2 linked regions of the Saccharomyces cerevisiae S288C genome follow. Changing the gene in region 2 together with the main gene of any one other region gives a genetic interaction. Each region holds a gene or a part of one and is shown on either strand. Other genes may lie near its edges.

Region 1 (5,140 bases), on a different chromosome or scaffold from region 2:
TGTACTTGCACGATGTCGAGTTTGTCAAATTTCCAGACATCTTAGAGGCATTAAAGGAATTGAGGACCTTGAAGAACAAAGGAGTTATCAAAAATTTTGGCATATCAGGCTACCCAATCGACTTTATCACCTGGCTTGCTGAGTACTGCTCTACCGAGGAAAGTGATATTGGGTCATTGGATGCAGTATTGTCCTATTGTAACTTGAACTTACAAAACAATAAGCTATTGAACTTTCGAGAAAGACTGCTACGCAATGCTAAACTGAAAATGGTTTGCAACGCATCAATCTTGAGCATGTCGCTACTAAGGTCACAGGAGACAAGACAGTTTCACCCGTGTTCTCATGAATTGAGAGAATGCGCATCTCAGGCTGCCAAATACTGTCAAGAACAAAATGTCGACTTAGCCGATTTGGCCACAAGATACGCGATTTCGGAATGGGTAGGAAAGGGACCCGTTGTTCTTGGAGTCAGTAGCATGGAAGAATTGAAACTTGCTCTGGATAATTACGAAATTGTGAAATCGAATGGCAACAGATTATCTTCTAAGGACGGACAACTAGTAGAATATATCCAAAAGAATATTTTTAAAGAACATTTTAATGAAGAGTGGTCTTCAGGTATTCCTCATCCAGAAATGATATAATCACCCCAAAAAGAAAAAAAATTTGTCAAATTTTAGTTTATATTCATTTGTTCTATTTACATATGTAAGTTTTTCCTTTTCTTCTTTTTTAGTTTTTTCCTTTTAAAATTTCTTCTTCTGCAATTCCTCTAAATATTTTTGCTTTCGTCTTAACTTTTCCTTCAGAATGTCATCTCCAGCCTTCATTTTGTCATTCCATTCCACTATTCTTCGCAATATACTCATCACGGTGAGTATACATATATAAAAGTAGATGATGAAGCCTGAAATGTAAACATTCCTTTGGTTATATGCCCTTGAAGCCAGTGCATCCACTGGGGTTACACTATTTATTATATAGGGATTTTTCTGGTTGCGGTACGTAGACACTCTGATCTGTGACCTTTTCCATGAATCGATGAACAAAAGACCAACGAAGATCATGATTCCAACCATATAAGTTCTGAATTTCTTATTAGTACTTATGATACTGTAGCGTATATACAGCCACCTTCTCATACGCTGTGGAAGCGGAAGTACCAAAATAAACAGAATGGCCATTTCGATGACCAGTAACGAAAAGAGTACTGCCAAATAAACACCCATCACTAACTCGACTTTGAAATTTTGCTTAGTATTTTTCTATTCACATAATTCATGCTCCAACGAACACTCAGCGTATTTATTTACTTCCAGGCGGCTAGCTTTTCTCAGAGAAGGCCAGCTGTACATATATTGCTCTATCAACCCTTTTTTTTCCCTTGTCTTTTTTCCAAGAAAACCATTTTGCCTAATTGACACAAGCCTACACAACCAAGTTAGCCGTTAAACACAGCAGACGTATCTCGATCTCGTCAATGATATATACGTGTTTTTTGGAAGAATGAGATGGGATAGTAATACACCAAAAATGGGCTGATCATCCGATGTTATTATCAACCATTGGTGGATGGTCAAGACAGCGGCGCTAAATGCCACAGCCTCGATCCGGGTAATACTTATTTTGAGTTTTTTCAGCTGGGACGAATTATCATCACTAACAAGGACAATGAGTATAGCACTGCACACACACACGTTTTATCTTTACGTTATACGTAATTTTTCCCTCCTTTTAATGATGAGAATTTATTAATACATTCATTTGAATGGGAATTTTACTTTTACCTTCCTCAAATTTCTTTATCAAAACTCAAGTTTTCCTCTCTTTTCATCTCCTCTTCCTCTCCTTTCTTTCTTTCTCTCTTTCTTTTTCTCTCTTGGCTTGCCTTCTGCTCTCTATTCTTGATGAAAATTCTTAATTTGATCCAGGGAACGATAGGAAGACAAGAGAAGAGGTTGTAAACGTGAATTTTGTAAAAGTCCCCAATCAAAGAAACACTTTTGGTTGCCCACTTAAGAAAGCTATTTAATATTAAATCTTTCCGTACACATCAATTTTTCGACATATATACAAACACAAGCGCTATGTCATATTACAACAGGTATAGGAACAAAAGAAGAAGCGATAATGGTGGAGGAAACTTAAGTAACAGTAACAATAACAATGGTGGTATGCCATCTGGACTATCCGCATCAGATGCAATTTTTGATCTGGGTAAAAATAAGAGGGTCACGGTAAGACAATTTAGAAACATAAATTTAATTGATATCCGTGAGTACTATCTGGACTCATCTACAGGCGAAATGAAACCTGGGAAGAAAGGTATTTCGTTGACAGAAGATCTATACGACGAATTGCTTAAGCACAGATTGAATATTGATGAAGCCTTGAGAAGGCTAGGATCCAAGAGACCAAAAACCAAAATGGTTAGACTATTGTCCGACGACGAATATGAAGATGATAACAATAATGACAGTACTAATAACGACAAGGATAAAAACGGGAAGGACAAGAACAGCCCAAAGAAGAGGAGAGAAGATAAGTCCAAAGCATCTAATGAGAGTCATGACTTGGAGCCACGTTCAAAGAAGAAGAAACCTGCTCCACCTACTCTACTTCCACACGAGGAAAACATTCAAAACGCTGAAAGAGAAGCCAATGCTACTTTGATCATCCCAGGCCAGGCAGGTAGGAAACAACAAGAGGAACGCAAGCAAAAGGAAAAAGAAGAGGCAGAGGAGGCAAAGGCAAAAGCAGTTGCAGAACAAGAGAAAGAGGCAAAGGCAAAAGAAAAGATAGCTGAACCTGAACCTGAACCTGTACCCACACTTCAAGCTAAAAAAGAAGATATTGTCTCCAACATAAACGAGTCAAAAGATGCAAATTCTAGTGACGAAGAATTTGCTCAAAGCTTGGAAGCTGAAATGAACAAGGCTGAAGACGACATAAGTGAAGAAGAATAATAGTCCTGGAAGTTGAGCTTGCTTATGTCAACGTCTTCCATCCAACGAGCTTATTAGAGAATAAAAAAAAAAAAAAAGAAATAAAAATATATACTTTTCTGTTTGTCAAATTCATTTTAACAATTCATATAATCAAATATGTGATTTATAATAACCAGACAAAAGTTAATCTTGTACATTTCAGTATAATATACTATCAAAAAAAAATTTGCGCTTACTAAGCATTTTCCCCGTACAACTAGTACACAGTGAGAATGGAAGAGGGTAAAAATTCATTGTTCGGAAAAATAATATATTAAAGGCAAGCCAAAAAAAAAAAATTTAGACTAAGAAAAGAATAAAGATATCTTTGCAAGGCAGAAACCCATTCGATCAGCACAAAAATGACCACGAACGATACATACGAGGCTACTTATGCCATTCCCATGCACTGTGAAAATTGCGTGAATGATATAAAGGCATGCCTAAAAAATGTCCCAGGAATCAATTCATTGAATTTCGATATAGAGCAACAAATAATGAGCGTGGAAAGCTCAGTAGCCCCTTCAACCATCATCAACACCTTGCGAAACTGTGGTAAAGACGCCATCATAAGAGGCGCCGGGAAGCCGAATTCTTCCGCGGTCGCTATCTTAGAGACCTTTCAAAAATATACTATAGACCAGAAAAAGGACACCGCCGTGAGGGGCCTAGCAAGAATCGTTCAGGTTGGAGAGAATAAGACTCTTTTTGACATCACTGTAAATGGCGTCCCAGAGGCGGGAAATTACCACGCCAGCATTCACGAGAAAGGCGACGTCTCCAAGGGCGTGGAATCTACTGGTAAAGTTTGGCACAAGTTCGACGAACCCATTGAATGCTTCAACGAGAGTGATTTGGGCAAGAACTTGTACAGTGGGAAGACCTTTCTGAGCGCTCCCTTGCCAACATGGCAACTTATCGGCCGCAGCTTTGTCATTTCCAAGTCTCTGAACCACCCAGAAAACGAGCCTTCCTCCGTTAAGGACTACTCATTTCTGGGAGTCATTGCGAGAAGCGCTGGTGTGTGGGAAAATAATAAACAAGTGTGTGCGTGTACCGGAAAGACTGTTTGGGAAGAGAGAAAAGATGCCTTGGCCAACAACATCAAATAGAACATCCAAGATAGCACAACGTAGCGTAATACAGATATAACATAATATAGTATACTACATCATAACCACGTGATGCCGGACATGTACATACGCATGTGGCAATATGCCAAAGCCGGTTTCCAATCCTACTTCATATTGCCTTGTCCCTCCGGTTTCGCCGGCAACAACGGCCCGGAACGTACCTAAAGAGGTATTTCGCTCTTGGTATCCGTACCTCACTTATCTCCAGCACCTATCGTTCCTGGCCAGACGGCCGGAGTTGATCTTTCGTCTTTCTCCGGAAACCACGGCGTTCAGCTACGCATTCCGTAGCAGCCAAGCCGGTTCTTGACACCATCTGTCTACGTCATACATATCGGCTCTTTTTGTCTCTAATAAATTAAAGAGAGCCATTTATACGAAAAAAACACCTTTTTACGAATTTCAGAAAATCAGAATGGGAAAAACAAACTGCGGAAAAGAAAAACAAGACACCGAAAATATATACAATTTCCCCTCTACAGACAACATATAGTATTGACACTTACTTATTTATATTTGTTGTTTCCAGCGAAAGAGACAGGTAATAAAGACAAATAGCAGAACAAAGTGGTGTTTGTTGCCTGATATCAGCACCAGTCAGACTTGGCCCTTTTACTTTTATCGCGTAAACCGTGTTCCCTTTTTTTGCCTTCCTGTTTGGTAATAGTAAGAAAGCAGCACGAGCTCAACAAGACTTCCCAGTTAGAAACTGTGTTACACGAAAATAAAACAGACGGAAACCTTGGAGATAACAGAAACTAGTCTGTAATACGAAAAGTTCAAAAAAAAAAAGATATTGCTTTTTTCTTCCTTACTTTATCGGTATCTTCCTCATATTTTTCGGGAAGATCACAACAGTAGTAGCAAGGTATTTCATACGCCAAGAGGCTACCTTTTTTTCTTTGGTTTTATTTGCTTTATTTTTTCTTTCTTTTTTCAACTTTTATTGCTCATAGAAGAACTAGATCTAAAATGACGGTCGACCATGATTTCAATAGCGAAGATATTTTATTCCCC
Region 2 (5,414 bases):
TTTCCATTTCGTTTTAGCCTCATCGTCATCATCAAATGGCAAATATCCCGTAATTAATGTGTATAGTATCACTCCCAATGACCATATATCAATCTTGAATCCATCATAAGTCCTTCTTTCTATCAATTCAGGTGCCATATAAACTGTGGTACCGCAAACCGTTTCTAATGTCGTCTTTGTCATACATTCTCTCGTAAAACCAAAATCCGTCAATTTTGCATTTCCATTTTTGTCTAATAAAATATTCTCTAACTTCAAATCTCTATGAACACAATGCATTGAGTGTGCATAGTAAACAGCACCTGAAATTTGTGCAAACAACTCTCCGCATTCCAATAACGATATTCTACGCAGAGAAAGTAAGTGGTCATATAATTCCTTCCCTGGGCAATATTCTAATGCCATCCACACTTTTGATTCTGTCACTATCACTTCATAAAGCTTTGTAATATAAGGAAAATCGAACTGTCTATGGTAAAATACCTCTCTAACGATATTGGGATCATTCTTATCACTCGTCTTTAGGCAGACTTTACGATGTGTTGGTCTATGGAGCGCTAAATATACTTTTCCAAAACTTCCTTCACCTATTTGTTTTAAAATCTTGTAGTTTCCCACTTCTGTCAACTCATCAGAAGTAAATTGGCTGTATAGTCGATTGTACGATGATCCTATAATGCTTTTTATATTGTTTTGTTCCAATTTCGAGGATCCAACAGGATTAACCATGGTGAGCAGTATATTCACCTATATGTGGGTCTTTTATTGTCTCTTGGCAACGGATAAGGAGAACTTGCTTCCACTACACAGTGACTAGTTATTAATGAAAAACGAAACAAAATTTATTGATACAAAAAATAGTATTCGGATAACGAAACTCTTGTTGACTTCAAAATACAGGTATTGGAATTTTCGTAATGATTCGGAATGATATGAGGGAAAAAACGTTACTTTATTTAATTCATACAAGATATTTATTGTATACCGTTATTGATAAGTGTTCTGTTGTCAAGATTGGGAGGGTCCACGCGGTCAACATTGTTAAGATAAGCCGAAAATCACCACACAAATCCACGATGACCTAAGAACATTCGTTCGCTTAAATCACCTATAGTCACAATAAAGTAGCATTCAATGTGACAAGAGGAGCTATCTACTTTCAGAGAATTACTCCTCATCTCGTATTCCTATTTCGAGTTCAACAACTCTTTTATTAAGTAAGGGTGCTCAAAATTCTTCATCATCTAATACGGAAAAGCTACAATTTTGGCAATAAAAGATTATTCAAGATGTGAAGCTAACAGTAATTATTACCCACTTCATTGCATCTTAAAACCATTTCCGAGGATGCAGACACTGTGTTACATGGAGATTAGTGAGAATGGACGGAAATGATCACAAAGTCGAAAATTTAGGAGATGTAGACAAATTTTATTCCAGAATACGCTGGAATAACCAATTTTCATATATGGCCACTCTGCCGCCCCACCTACAAAGCGAAATGGAAGGTCAGAAATCATTGCTAATGCGATATGATACTTATAGGAAGGAAAGTTCTTCTTTTAGTGGTGAAGGCAAGAAAGTTACTCTGCAGCATGTTCCTACAGATTTTTCAGAAGCATCACAAGCAGTGATTAGCAAGAAAGATCACGATACGCATGCATCTGCTTTTGTGAATAAAATTTTCCAACCAGAGGTTGCTGAAGAACTTATAGTTAATCGATACGAAAAACTTCTGTCACAAAGGCCGGAATGGCATGCACCCTGGAAACTTTCACGCGTTATCAATGGCCATCTTGGATGGGTACGATGCGTTGCAATCGATCCTGTTGACAACGAATGGTTCATCACCGGAAGTAATGATACGACAATGAAAGTTTGGGATCTTGCAACAGGAAAATTAAAAACTACCTTAGCAGGGCATGTAATGACAGTGAGAGACGTTGCTGTGTCAGATCGACATCCTTATTTATTTTCTGTTAGTGAAGATAAGACGGTCAAATGCTGGGACCTAGAGAAAAACCAAATTATTAGAGATTACTATGGACATTTATCGGGGGTTCGTACGGTGAGCATACATCCAACGCTGGATCTCATAGCTACCGCAGGCCGAGATAGCGTTATCAAACTCTGGGATATGAGAACCAGAATACCTGTTATTACACTAGTTGGGCATAAGGGTCCAATCAATCAAGTACAGTGTACTCCAGTAGACCCTCAAGTGGTGAGTTCATCGACTGATGCTACGGTAAGGTTATGGGATGTAGTTGCTGGGAAAACAATGAAAGTTCTAACACATCATAAGAGGTCTGTGAGAGCTACAGCGTTGCATCCTAAGGAGTTTTCGGTGGCTTCTGCGTGTACTGATGACATCAGATCATGGGGATTAGCAGAGGGGTCTTTACTCACCAATTTTGAGTCTGAAAAGACAGGCATAATCAATACTTTAAGCATTAATCAAGATGATGTATTATTCGCTGGCGGTGACAATGGTGTGCTTTCCTTTTATGATTATAAGTCTGGTCACAAATACCAATCGTTGGCCACGAGAGAAATGGTAGGCTCTCTGGAAGGTGAACGGAGTGTTCTTTGTAGCACTTTCGATAAAACAGGTTTAAGATTAATCACTGGAGAAGCAGACAAAAGCATAAAGATTTGGAAACAGGATGAGACGGCTACAAAAGAGTCAGAACCGGGGCTAGCGTGGAACCCCAACTTAAGCGCCAAAAGATTTTAGTGGGAGTAGATGGAAAAAGTACGTACCCTGTATACGTGTATATACAATGAGATAGCATCTATAAATGGACTTTTCCTAATCAAAAGGTATTGGTTTATGATGTTTTTTATTCATCTCAGTAGCCGCAATAGCGCTCGGTAACTTTATACCACAGCAGTCTCCCCAAGTAGTATGAACATGTCCTTCAAAATTGCACTCATCATCCTTATCAGTCCCATCATGTATGTGGCCTCTTGGTGGAGATACACCATCCGGACAAGGCAAAAACTCGCTAAAGTAAAAATGTTGCATGATGGGCAATTTACTAAGGACTTCGGCTTTATACATTTTTATCATCCCTTCAGCAACTTTTGACCAAGTCTTTACACCGCTGATGTCATCTAGCATAGGAGAATGCCATCTCAAGGAGGCGGATGACTTGACCTTATTAATAAAAGCGATACAACCAAAATATAAGTACCGATGAGCGAACATTTCTACGAGCTCATTATTGTGAATTGATATCGGCTTTAAGTGCTTGTGGGTGGTTAATTGGAAGGCACCAAATAGAAATGGAAGGAAATGATAATCATCTAATCCCCAAACACCATGAGAGCCCGCAGGCTCAAGCCAATATTTAGTTTCTAGTATCCTCATTATTTTAAGGTATTCTATAAAAACTTTCAGCACGAGGTTAGTTGAATCGTTTGAAAGATTGAATATTCCATAACTATAGAGTCCATAAAGTAAACACATGAAATTTAATTCATGACCTGAACCATAATCAATTCTTCTTTTATTTCCCCATGATTCATCTAGATAAATCGATAATTGTTCCAACTGCTCATCTGTGAGAGAGGGAAATTCGGAACGTAAGATCTTCCTGGAATTCCGTGAAACTTCGTCATAAAAGTCCCTAAACTCAACCTTACCAAATCTCGAGCTATCTGCATCCTTTATTACTGGGTGCTTCTGAGTGATATCTTTTATTTGCGAAAGCAAGTTCATCATACTGTTTATTGACTCCGATATTGGTTCTTTGTACTGGGAATTCTCATGTCCTTTGACAGATTCAGCCAAATCTATAATAAATTTAGTGAAATGAGCTCTTGTTGGGGATTCTTCCCATAGTTTCATATCGTCTGGAGTCAATAGTCTCTTTTCTGGCAACATCTTTTTCTAAATATTTATATTGTTCTTTACGGATTGTTGTTTATGGACTGTTCTTTCTGCACAGGCGACTAACATAAAGTACCTCTCTCTTGTCATTGATATCCCTTTTGTTCTATCACATCCGTTAGGATTTTATTCTGTGCTTACTCACGTGAAAGAGAGGGAAGAGTGTAAAAGTTACCCGAAAATCTATTATGGCGGCTATTGTAGTACGTCCAAAACAACGTATTTCAATGTAAATTCAAAGCAAACACTGAGAAAAAACAAAAACTTACTTATTGGTTCGCTCAGCACCTACCTAAATGGTACTTTTAGAATGATACTGTATTATCTACCGTGGTATCGGCAACTATAGGACGGAGATAAAGCATGCCAAAGTAATTCTTCCTTTATTAGATGAGATTTCAGCGTGAGGTGAACCATCATTTGTTTGGTTGGTGCATTAATAGCCTGCTTCCTTTTAATTAAGCCGGAAAGTGTTTGTCACAGATGTCAATGAAACGTGCATCTATTAACATATTTATTTTCATTTCGAGGGTGAGGTGGTGTGGACGCGTTGATACGGCAACGGGAGTGACGCGTAAAATTGGCAGAAAAATCATCACCGTGGGTAGACTTGGAAATGAAAACATTTATAGAATAAAGGTACAGGTTGAGAAGATAAAGGGTACCAAAGTTACCATTTTGAAATCTCTGATCAAGAAAAGGTAAGAAAGCAGAAAAGGACGGTAGAGATTATTGGAAGACAAACTAATTTTGTATATGCATTCGATTTTCTTAAGCTTTAAAAGAGAGAATAGTGAGAAAAGATAGTGTTACACAACATCAACTAAAAATGGAAAATATTACACAACCCACACAGCAATCCACGCAGGCTACTCAAAGGTTTTTGATTGAGAAGTTTTCTCAAGAACAGATCGGCGAAAACATTGTGTGCAGGGTCATTTGTACCACGGGTCAAATTCCCATCCGAGATTTGTCAGCTGATATTTCACAAGTGCTTAAGGAAAAACGATCCATAAAGAAAGTTTGGACATTTGGTAGAAACCCAGCCTGTGACTATCATTTAGGAAACATTTCAAGACTGTCAAATAAGCATTTCCAAATACTACTAGGAGAAGACGGTAACCTTTTATTGAATGACATTTCCACTAATGGGACCTGGTTAAATGGGCAAAAAGTCGAGAAGAACAGCAATCAGTTACTGTCTCAAGGTGATGAAATAACCGTTGGTGTAGGCGTGGAATCAGATATTTTATCTCTGGTCATTTTCATAAACGACAAATTTAAGCAGTGCCTCGAGCAGAACAAAGTTGATCGCATAAGATCTAACCTGAAAAATACCTCTAAAATAGCTTCTCCTGGTCTTACATCATCTACTGCATCATCAATGGTGGCCAACAAGACTGGTATTTTTAAGGATTTTTCGATTATTGACGAAGTGGTGGGCCAGGGTGCATTTGCCACAGTAAAGAAAGCCATTGAAAGAACTACTGGGAAAACATTCGCGGTGAAGATTATAAGT

What was found. Genes that interact genetically often act in the same process or in processes that back each other up.
Region 1: mutations in RRD2 (region 2) and CCS1 impair growth when combined (synthetic growth defect), as found in Saccharomyces cerevisiae (2 studies listed by BioGRID, with this or other methods).

What each region holds. Positions count from the first base shown.
Region 1 is NC_001145.3:346,473-351,612, reverse strand, and holds CCS1 (copper chaperone CCS1), read left to right. Parts: upstream 1-3,352; coding exon 3,353-4,102; downstream 4,103-5,140. Other genes in the region: D-arabinose 1-dehydrogenase (NAD(P)(+)) ARA2, read left to right, coding at 1-647; YET2 (Yet2p), read right to left, coding at 750-1,232; chromatin-binding transcription coactivator SUB1, read left to right, coding at 2,091-2,969; stress-responsive transcriptional activator MSN2, read left to right, coding at 5,096-5,140. UniProt on the Saccharomyces cerevisiae protein: Copper chaperone for apo superoxide dismutase 1 (SOD1). Binds copper ions and delivers them specifically to apo-SOD1.
Region 2 is NC_001148.4:263,503-268,916, reverse strand, and holds RRD2 (peptidylprolyl isomerase RRD2), read right to left. Parts: upstream 3,890-5,414; coding exon 2,813-3,889; downstream 1-2,812. Other genes in the region: YPL150W (non-specific serine/threonine protein kinase), read right to left, coding at 1-729; mRNA splicing protein PRP46, read left to right, coding at 1,382-2,737; YPL152W-A (uncharacterized protein), read right to left, coding at 4,217-4,315; serine/threonine/tyrosine protein kinase RAD53, read left to right, coding at 4,725-5,414. UniProt on the Saccharomyces cerevisiae protein: PPIases accelerate the folding of proteins. It catalyzes the cis-trans isomerization of proline imidic peptide bonds in oligopeptides.